2 linked regions of the Caenorhabditis elegans genome follow. The protein of the gene in region 1 interacts with the protein of each later gene in a pairwise test. Each region holds a gene or a part of one and is shown in the gene's direction. Other genes may lie near its edges.

Region 1 (5,208 bases):
TGGCACGAGCATACTACGAACAAATGCTGGAAATGCCAAATCGGGTACCGCTGTCAATGAGAGCCTACCACATGATGCGTGATCGAGATGTTCGTGTTCGATATCCAACTACAGAAGAACCGGTTCCAGTTGAGCCTGTAACATTTGGACAAACTACTAGAACTTTACCTATTTCACAGCAACCGACAACTTCTCGCAGTCATATGACGCTGAGATCTGCAATGAGACGTTTAGATTCCGATCGTCCGACAGACGAAGAGATTCCGCCGATTGAGAGTCGGCCCCAGACACGCCGCGAAATCGAAAGAGATCGACTTCTACAAAGAGTTCGGGAATTTGATAATCGATCACGAGGGCTTTCGGTGAGTATTATTGAGAATTTATAAAGAAGTGAATGTATTTAATTTAATAGTAAGTAAAACTTGAAGATTTTCTATATTTCAGAGTCTCTTCCGTCACCCTGCATCGTCGGATTATACAAGTCGACGATTCACTTCTGATGGTTATTCTGGATTGGTTGGTTTAAAAAATATATAAACATAAAATATCATCAAAATTGTTTCAGGTTATGCTCTCGCCACGGTTAAATTCAACCACTACATCATCTACGAGTATACCTGTTTATCAGCCGCGAACTATGACGAGTAATGATTTCGCGCATTTAAACCGAACCAGAAGCATTTTGGAGAGAAGACATTTCCCACAGCCACCACGGGAGCAAAGAATCGAAGAAGTGGAACAACTTTTCAACAGAGCTTACCAAAATATGCAGCAAACTCATCAAGCAATTCAAGAACATGCTAGCACAAGCAATGCACCGACACAAATTCCTCGTCCAGCAACTCCAGCACCCGCTATATCTGACGAAGAATCTCGATCACTTGCGGAAATTGTTGCAACCATAAATCAGGAGGATGCTGATAATGGACTTGACTTTATTTCGGTTGCTCATCGAACAAGATCCGCAAGAAGAGGTAAATTTCTAACTTTAAATTGTTTTTTACCGAAATTTGATTTTTCAGCAGCCGAAAACGGGCATCCACCCGAGGGACCACCAGCCAAAAGATCAACAAACTCTCGTCGTGATAGACGTTAATATCCAAGAAATACGCTCATTTAAAAAAATAATCTTGTTCGAGTTTCTTAAACATTATATCTGTATGGATAAATGTACACTCGCTTCTTAAACAACCCGTTTCCTTCACTGTTTAGTTGTACCTTGTGACATGTACATTCAAATGTTACTCAACCCCCGTTTTTTTTCATTCTATGTGTTCTGCTTTTTTCAAAAACTTTATTAAAATATTTAATGAAATGTTAAAATAATATTTTGAGCGAATCAGTTTGTGAAAACTGTTTTATAGACAGGTTTTTGGTATTTTCTGTGTGTTTTTTTATTATTTATGTTTTATTGAGAAAGATGTTTTGTTTGAGAGCAACGAATCTAATAATAACAAAACTTACTATAAGCTAGAAAATTCCAAAAGATGCACCCAACTATTTTTTTTTCCAATTTTTCATAATAATCTATTTGTGAGTGTTTTCTCTGTATCCGGTTTCTGTTCTTTCCATTTTTTAAGGGAAATTTCCTTATAAAAATTCAAATATCTCAAAACTATGCTTGTGCGCTCCAATGAGATCTATTTGATTGCTTCCATCTTTATCAACATTTTAGGCTTTTTTATTTTACTTCGACTACCTTCTTTCTTTGATATTAATTTTAATTTATTAATTTAATTTTTAAAAGAGAAACTGAAATTTCAAACCAGAATATGGGAAAAATTAGTTAGAGTTTTCAAACTTGAAAATTTTGCGCAAACTGAAAAATATTTGTGAGAAACTAAAAAATTTCCGATAGTTTATTTTTTAGAGGAATATTTCAAATCTCAAAAGAATTGAAAAGCTCAATGGATTCTCCGAGCACAAGTGAATCACCACTGAAAAAGAATACAATTCAGGATTTTGGAGAAAGTAACATGACAGAAAGTCCCCAGTCTAAAGAAGAAATCGACGAACCGGAAGAGGAGTGTTCGGTATGCAAAAATGAGTAAGTTCATTCAATAGTATTAATTAAAAATTGATTTATTTCAGAATTATCGATACAACCTCGTTGAGTGATTGTTGCCATGAATTTTGCTACGATTGCATTGTAGGCTGGCTCACGAAGGGATCCGGTCCTTTCTGTCCAATGTGCAAAACACCAGTTAGCTTCATCCAACGGAAAGGAACCGATGAGAAAATAACCGTCCAGCAAATAAAATCCGAAGGAGAGCCAGCAGCGACTGCTTCAGAAGATCTTGTGACTGAGAAGAGAATTGTGTCGAGAAAAATTCGAAGTTGTCGAAGGCTAATGAACCAAATTGACGAGATCATGTAAGAGTTTTCGATGAGTAATATACAAATTGTATTTGAACATTCTTTTAGTGGAGCAACATCAAGTAGATCTGATAGTCAAAAAAGGAAGCCACGATTAGAAGAGTTGAACTCGATGAAACAACTGTGTGTCTCACAATTGAACTCCCTGCAAATGCTCCGAGACGACATTGATCATGGAGCAGCAAAAGCATTAATTGTCTCAAAAGCCGCATTCCGAAGATTGATCTATGAGCGTCAAGTTATATCAGAAGGATTGCCAGATGCAACTAATTCTCTGTCGAAAACTGAATTCCGTGATAATATCGATCACTATCGAGCAGTTTTACACAGTTTCTTGAGCGTCGAGTTGAAATCCCTTCCGGCGAAGACGGTAACGTTTCCCATTAAAACATAAAAGTGTTCTAATGAAAAGTATTTCAGCAACCACGTGTCGACAATGAAAATAGCTGGTATTTTTATACACTTCATGATGTGGCCGAGGGAAAAGACGAAGAGATTATCAATAGAATATTCAGTATGATTGAAGATCGTGGAACGCGTGATCTTAATGCGGTAGTTCAAAAACAAATTTACCATAAGTTTGAAATGTTTCAGAGAGAAGTTGATGCAGCATTGAATGGGCTTGTATCATGTCGGGTTGTAATTGCATTTATTGCTGAGCTGAAGTCTTTGATTAACAGTCGAAAGTCATTTTTGGAGTGGTGCGGTGCCATAACATATCGAATCAGAACAGATCGCGGAGGTGAAAGTGCTGGAAATGGTAGAATCATATTTGTACTTAATTTCAAAAAATCGTATCTTCCAGATGTTGTGACGGTCGACGATTCAATTGAGCTTGAACCCGAAGAAAATAGATCAAACCACAGGTCGCGCCGATTCCCGGTTTTTACACCATTCGACCGAGTTTTTGGTATTTAATTTTTTATCATAATATGCTTTTAAAATATTATTTTAATTTAAAACTTCAAAATAAAATTTTCAGGATCTACCATGGGACACATGTATCGAGGACAACCGCAAGTGAGTTTGCCGCCCCTTTATGACCTGTTGAGTGTAAGTTTACATTGTAGCATTATCCTGCCTCATCATCTGACACCGACCAGGACGATGACATCTACTTTCAGGCTCCTCTTCGTCTTGGCCCTAATGCTACGAATCCGTTCAGGCCAGCTCCGCTCCCGGTGCCGTCACGTAAGATTTTTCAGATCGGCTCTTCAAAAAGTTAAATTTTTACAGAATTACCAATCGCTGGTATTCCATGGGCAGAATTAACGACATCTTCAGCAGGTGCTGGTTCTGCTCGAAGTCGTGGATCCGACAGTGTAGTAGAAATTGACGATGATGATGATAATGATGGTGTCGATGTGGATGATGATGACAGAGAAGACAGTGATGAGCCAAGAACGTATTCAAATAGTGAGGAAGATAGCGATGAAGAGATTCAAGTTGTTGAACGTGATGATACTATTATTCTTGATGATTCGAATCGATCACTTCCTAAACCTGTAGCAAATGGTAGTGCCGACAGGAAGAGAAAGTACGAATTTCCATTAGAAGATCATTGGAAAAAGGCCAAAACCAGCCAGTTACCTGAGGGGCTTGTTGACGATGTTCAGGAATTGATCGCGAAGTACAATATGCCGTTAACACAATCAATGAATATGCTTGTCGGCGCAGCACAAGAAGCCATTATCAGGATTAACAAACCAATGCCAAGCACTTCAAGGTGGGTTTGAAAAGATTTTATCGTGGATATGTAATATTCCAATTTCAGTGCTCCAGACATTTCGAAGTTCAAACCTGATGATATGTTACAGCTAGCAAGTTGTAAGTTTGTCATATTGCAGATCAAGTCTCATAACTAATTTTTACAGATCTCTCTCGAACTGGTGCACTTTCAAGGCGACAGTAAATCGACATTTGATCTCTGTTAAATCAATTAAAAAGGCGGATATCGACGAGTTTTCAAACTTTTTCCTAGGCATATCATAATTTTTTACAACTTTTTTACTTTTATTTTTTCTGACATTTCGATGTTTCGTAGTAGCAAGTTTCCAAATGTTCCATCCTGGGCTACAAGCGAACTTATTCGGCAATTTTTAGATTTTCGTTGTTTACGGTTCAAAGAAAAAAGCGTTTTTCATATTTTTATTGTTTCTCCATGTTAGCTATCATTTTTTATTTATTTATATTTATAGCTTTATTCTGATTATTGTACTTCTGTCCGTGTAAAACATTTCGTCACTATTGACTGTCTATAAATTTTTAACCTTTGGTTTATTGTTTGGTTATTTTTTTAATATTTTTTCTCGGTTTGCTTCCGGCAAATTTTTATCTTGTTCCTTTTTATATTTTTGCCTTTCTGATCGATTACATGGAGTGCACCCTAATGTCTTTAAGATCTTTTAATTGATTTGTTTTATATTGTCAGTTCTAGCGTTTTACCAGCTGGTCTTGAATGCCCTCTTCTAGTTCATTACATTCTACGTCACGGTGACAGCTGTGAATGTGGATGATGCTCTCATTGCTCCAACTCTTTATTTTAGAATTATGTCGCTAATGCACTTTCCACCTACATATTATTGTATGGATATAGTAGTTATATATCGTTTATTTCGTTTAGTTTTAGCATATTATGTTCCTTTAATAGCAAAACATACTCAATACCAACTGTTGTCTAGTTGTTATTCTAACCTTTTATCACTTTTGATCATTTCTAACGTTTAAAATTTCCTATCAAAAGAATCTAAGAACAAACAATCTGTCGATCGGCACCTGAAACCCCGATGATTCTACACCATGCTGCTCTACTTCTCTCAAACCATCCAATGT
Region 2 (4,112 bases), on another chromosome or scaffold:
TAATCATATTTATTAATTTATAATGTTGTTGAAACATTCCATTAAATTTTTCGAACAAAACTTTTTTTCACTTTGTTTGAAGGCAGTAAAACTTTGAAGCAGTAATTTTTAAAATCTCAAGGGTAACATACTTATGGGCTAACTTTTCAGTTTTGTTTTTACAAAAAATTATCCATTTGCCCTTCTAATATAATATATTTCAGGACAGCCAAGGAGCTTCAAGTATTAATGCAATGCACCTTCCAATGGGTACACGTCCACAGAATGTACCCCATACATTGAATGTAAATACTGATGACTGGTAAGTTTTCACATAAAATTTTACACACTTCTAAAGCACGTTGCTTCACTTCTGATATACTTACCGTACTTCTATTGTAACTCTATTGTGTGCCATTTATTCACAGGTCTCAATCATCGGATTTCCGTCCAGCCTATGCAAAGGAACCATCACCACTGCAGGGTACAGTAATCCGTGGCGATGGACGGAGCCATAGAAACCACGTGTATTCGCGGGAAACTCAGGTATAATTGTGCTCCATCCGGTTCTGCCGCTTTTTATCCAAATCTGGCGTTTGTAAATAATTTTCATAATGAATTCTTATTTGTTTCAATTTGCTCAAATTATCTAATTTTGTGTGTACTTGTGTTTGTGTGTTACTTATTTATTATAGTTAGAACTTAATTTTTTTCTTTTTAAATATTAATTTTTATGCATTTTGAGATTACAACTATTCAACATACAGTACTCCTATGGAATACTGTAATTTATTCACTTTTGACCTACTTTTTGATCTCGTGCAGTGCAGTGTGTGCTTTCATTTGAACCCTTTGTGCTTTGACCCTTTTTCTGTTAGTTTTCAACTTTAATTCATTTTTTTTGCAATAAATTTACTTTTGATACATTTTTTCTAAATATAATATTTTATTTTTCCAACAGGTCGAAGAACAACCAGACGTAATCACTCGCCTTTAAAATTCATTTTTTGCATTTATTTTCCGATTTTCTTTCAAACATTCTTCCCCGTCTTGTAGGCACCGGTTTTAGGCTCTCAATTGGGTTTTGTTTGCTCTTTTTCTTCAATTTGCTGTAATTATATAATTGGTGATCGCTGATAATGTGATTGATATCAAAATGGGTAATTTATGATGTATTCCAATCGTGTAATTTTTGAAATATTCAATAAATAATTGTTCATATTCTTGTTGTTGATTAATATATCAGTGTCTATAAAAATTTAATTAAACAAGCAGTGGCAGAAAAAAATTTCAAAAAAAAATGCAGTTTCAAGACATTATTATTACTTTTTTTTAACAAAGGTAACACAAAGTAACAGTTTTTAAAAAATTCTATAGTTTCTCGAAATTGGTGAAAAAGTTTGGATTTCACAATTTAATTTGCTTCGTTGGTAAGTAATTTTCAAACTCACACGTTTCAACGATTTATTTATTTATTTATTTTAATACGATTCCATACGAATCGTGTCCCAAGAAAAAACATAAAACATAAATGATTGATTTTGAATCACGCGATTTTGCAGTTTTATGCCGAAAACATTCTCAATAAGTTCAGTTCTAAAAAAAAGTTAGAAAATCACGTTGAAAAAGATTTAATAATTCTGACCTTTGATATTTTATCTTCACGTTCGATCAATTGCTCTAATTTTTTATTCCCTCCCCCCCACCCCCTCTTATCATTGTTCTTCTCGATTCTAATTTATTTCACAACAATCGATAATTCAAGTATCAAACAAATTCAATTCAAAGCATTTGATAGCTTGAAAAGATGCCACAAGAAATTCCACCTGCAGTCAAATATAAAATCTATCCGGAAGGTGCAGAGGGAATAGACACGGTTTGGGAGCGGCCCGGATTCAAGAAGGGAGAGGTGAGAGGGGTTTTTTGGAATTTGGAAGTTGGATTTGGAATCGAAACAGTGAGAAATTTGAATAATAATTTTTGAACTTTATTCAAGATTTTTTTAATAATTAATTTATTTTTCTTCATTGTGAACAATATTTCTTGAACTAAGTAATTGAGGCAGTCGGGGGTGTTCGAAAGAATATTTTATTATAGAATCAAACTTTCTTTTTTTTAATGGTTTAATGGTTTTTTTAATGGTACACTAGTAGTGAAACATAATTTTATTTTAAAAGTTATTTCTATTCTAGAAACACGTATTTCAGATAGAAGCTCGAGTCAAAGATGTGGTCATTCTGCGTGGAGAACCAGTTCCAAACAGCTACAAAATGCTTGTAGAGGCCACATTTGAGCTCCCAAAGAAGGATAAAATAACGGTAAGCGACATCATCAATGACTTTATGTAAAACGTTTTTGATTTCCAGCAACTCGGACTCGTCAATCGACATGGGTTGGTCACTCGTGTTCATTACGCGAGCCCATTCAAAGGAGCAATTCTACCGGGTGACATCATCTTGCAAGTGAACGGTACGACTGTCTCATTCGATGAGAAACAATTGACAGAGCATGTCGACGAGACCACCGGTGGAGCAAGTCTCCAGTCAAATGTGAAGACTGTTAAGAGGAAGCCAACGACTACACCGTAAGGACAAATGTTATGAAAACTTGAAAAATATTTACCTTATTAAGGAAAACTGAACCTGTGAGAGCACCACATTCACTTTATCCAGACTTCAAGGTTGTTGTCGGAAAGATTTTGAACTCAAAATCTGAGACAAAGATTACGGTTCTGGTCGCTAGATTGAAGAACAGAATGTCTACGTCTAAGATTCCAAATGGTAAGTTTGAATATTTGTTTCTTATTGTGAAACAGTAATTTTCATATAATTTCAGGTATCTTAGCCACACAGGATCACACCATCGATTTGGCCATTCTCTACCAATTCAAATACCTGCAGCTTGGTCTGAACGTGCAGCAGGTCGACAGAAAAGTGGTGGTCAACTACACTATTCCGGATTCAGTTTCACATTGTAGTTTGAATATTGGTGAAGCTATTATTGCTGTTGATGATAAACCAATCAACACTCTGGCAGATAATCGTCAACGATTTCGCGAAGGATTTGAGGCGAATGGATGGATTCGATTGTTGGTTGAGTATCCGAATACGGATCCAATCAAAAATATGGTTCGGGGACAGCTTGCAGTTGGTTATTTGCCTCACATTTTTTTTCTTCTATTTTAATTGCAGAATGTTATGAGAACTGCCGAACGACCGCAATACTTGCTTTGTGGAGATGTCCGTAAATACTTTGTAGAAGGAATTGAAGCTCTGAAAAATGGAAAAGCGTTGGCTCCCATTTTAAAAGAGGAAGAAGGGCCGGGAGAAGTTGGGAAGAAGAAGAGTGATGCGAAAGTTACCAAAAAGTATGTTTTTAAATAAATTAAGATAAAATCTTCAACTAATTCAGGGACCCGGCTGTTGGATTCAACAACACAACTGAAGAATTTTTTATTCCGGCGGAATGGAACTCGAAGCTTTTCGTTTGGCTCCCGCCGCTGAAGACCAAGGTGACCGAATCGGCATCTTCGAACATGCCGGTTAAAAAATGAACTTCATTCTTCTTTAATAAAACATTTGACTGATCTCGGGCGGGCTCGAACCACCGACCTTCTGTGTGTTAGACAGCACAGGTAAAGCGCTAAAAGCGAGACATTAACCAAATGTACGTGAAGGCCCGCTAAAAAGCCAATGATGGGTCGCACCTAAAAATTTTTTTTTTAATTATTGGAAAATCTAACATCGGTGATGGAACAATTTAACATTTTTTGGAAAATACTTTAGTTAAACATTAATTTCAGCTAGATTGTTTTATTCAATCATTTCAAATTTCCGAAAAATTTTTTTGAAAATCAGCTTTTATATATTTTTATCAATTAAAAAAAAACACCCGTACAAGCTATTATACTCTGTTCGGCATTTGCTGCTATTTTTGACTATGCTTAAGAGTTTTATGAAATAAAAAAGAATGACTCCATATGATTTTACAGGACTTTTGAATTTTTGAAAAAATCAGCTTTTATATATTTTTATCAATTTTTAAAAAAATACTTCCGTACAAGCTATTATACTTTGATTGACAGATTCTGGTGTTTTTGACTATGCTGAATAGTTTTATGAAATAAAAAAGAA

What was found. Proteins that work in one complex are often made in the same cells at the same time.
Region 2: the proteins of C32D5.10 (region 1) and mpz-4 interact in a two-hybrid assay, tested with the Caenorhabditis elegans proteins (one large-scale study listed by BioGRID).

What each region holds. Positions count from the first base shown.
Region 1 is NC_003280.10:6,348,650-6,353,857, reverse strand, and holds C32D5.10 (putative RING finger protein C32D5.10), read left to right. Parts: upstream 1-1,870; 5' UTR 1,871-1,907; coding exon 1,908-2,047; intron 2,048-2,091; coding exon 2,092-2,373; intron 2,374-2,424; coding exon 2,425-2,746; intron 2,747-2,796; coding exon 2,797-2,928; intron 2,929-2,970; coding exon 2,971-3,136; intron 3,137-3,181; coding exon 3,182-3,286; intron 3,287-3,358; coding exon 3,359-3,396; intron 3,397-3,500; coding exon 3,501-3,567; intron 3,568-3,612; coding exon 3,613-4,102; intron 4,103-4,150; coding exon 4,151-4,203; intron 4,204-4,250; coding exon 4,251-4,288; 3' UTR 4,289-4,651; downstream 4,652-5,208. Other genes in the region: C32D5.11 (RING-type domain-containing protein), read left to right, coding at 1-362, 445-516, 566-974, 1,023-1,096.
Region 2 is NC_003282.8:4,824,940-4,829,051, reverse strand, and holds mpz-4 (PDZ domain-containing protein), read left to right. Parts: upstream 1-1,731; 5' UTR 1,732-1,786; coding exon 1,787-1,888; intron 1,889-2,186; coding exon 2,187-2,297; intron 2,298-2,345; coding exon 2,346-2,563; intron 2,564-2,610; coding exon 2,611-2,759; intron 2,760-2,814; coding exon 2,815-3,125; intron 3,126-3,170; coding exon 3,171-3,346; intron 3,347-3,390; coding exon 3,391-3,532; 3' UTR 3,533-3,564; downstream 3,565-4,112. Other genes in the region: tat-2 (Phospholipid-transporting ATPase), read left to right, coding at 204-301, 408-525, 941-976.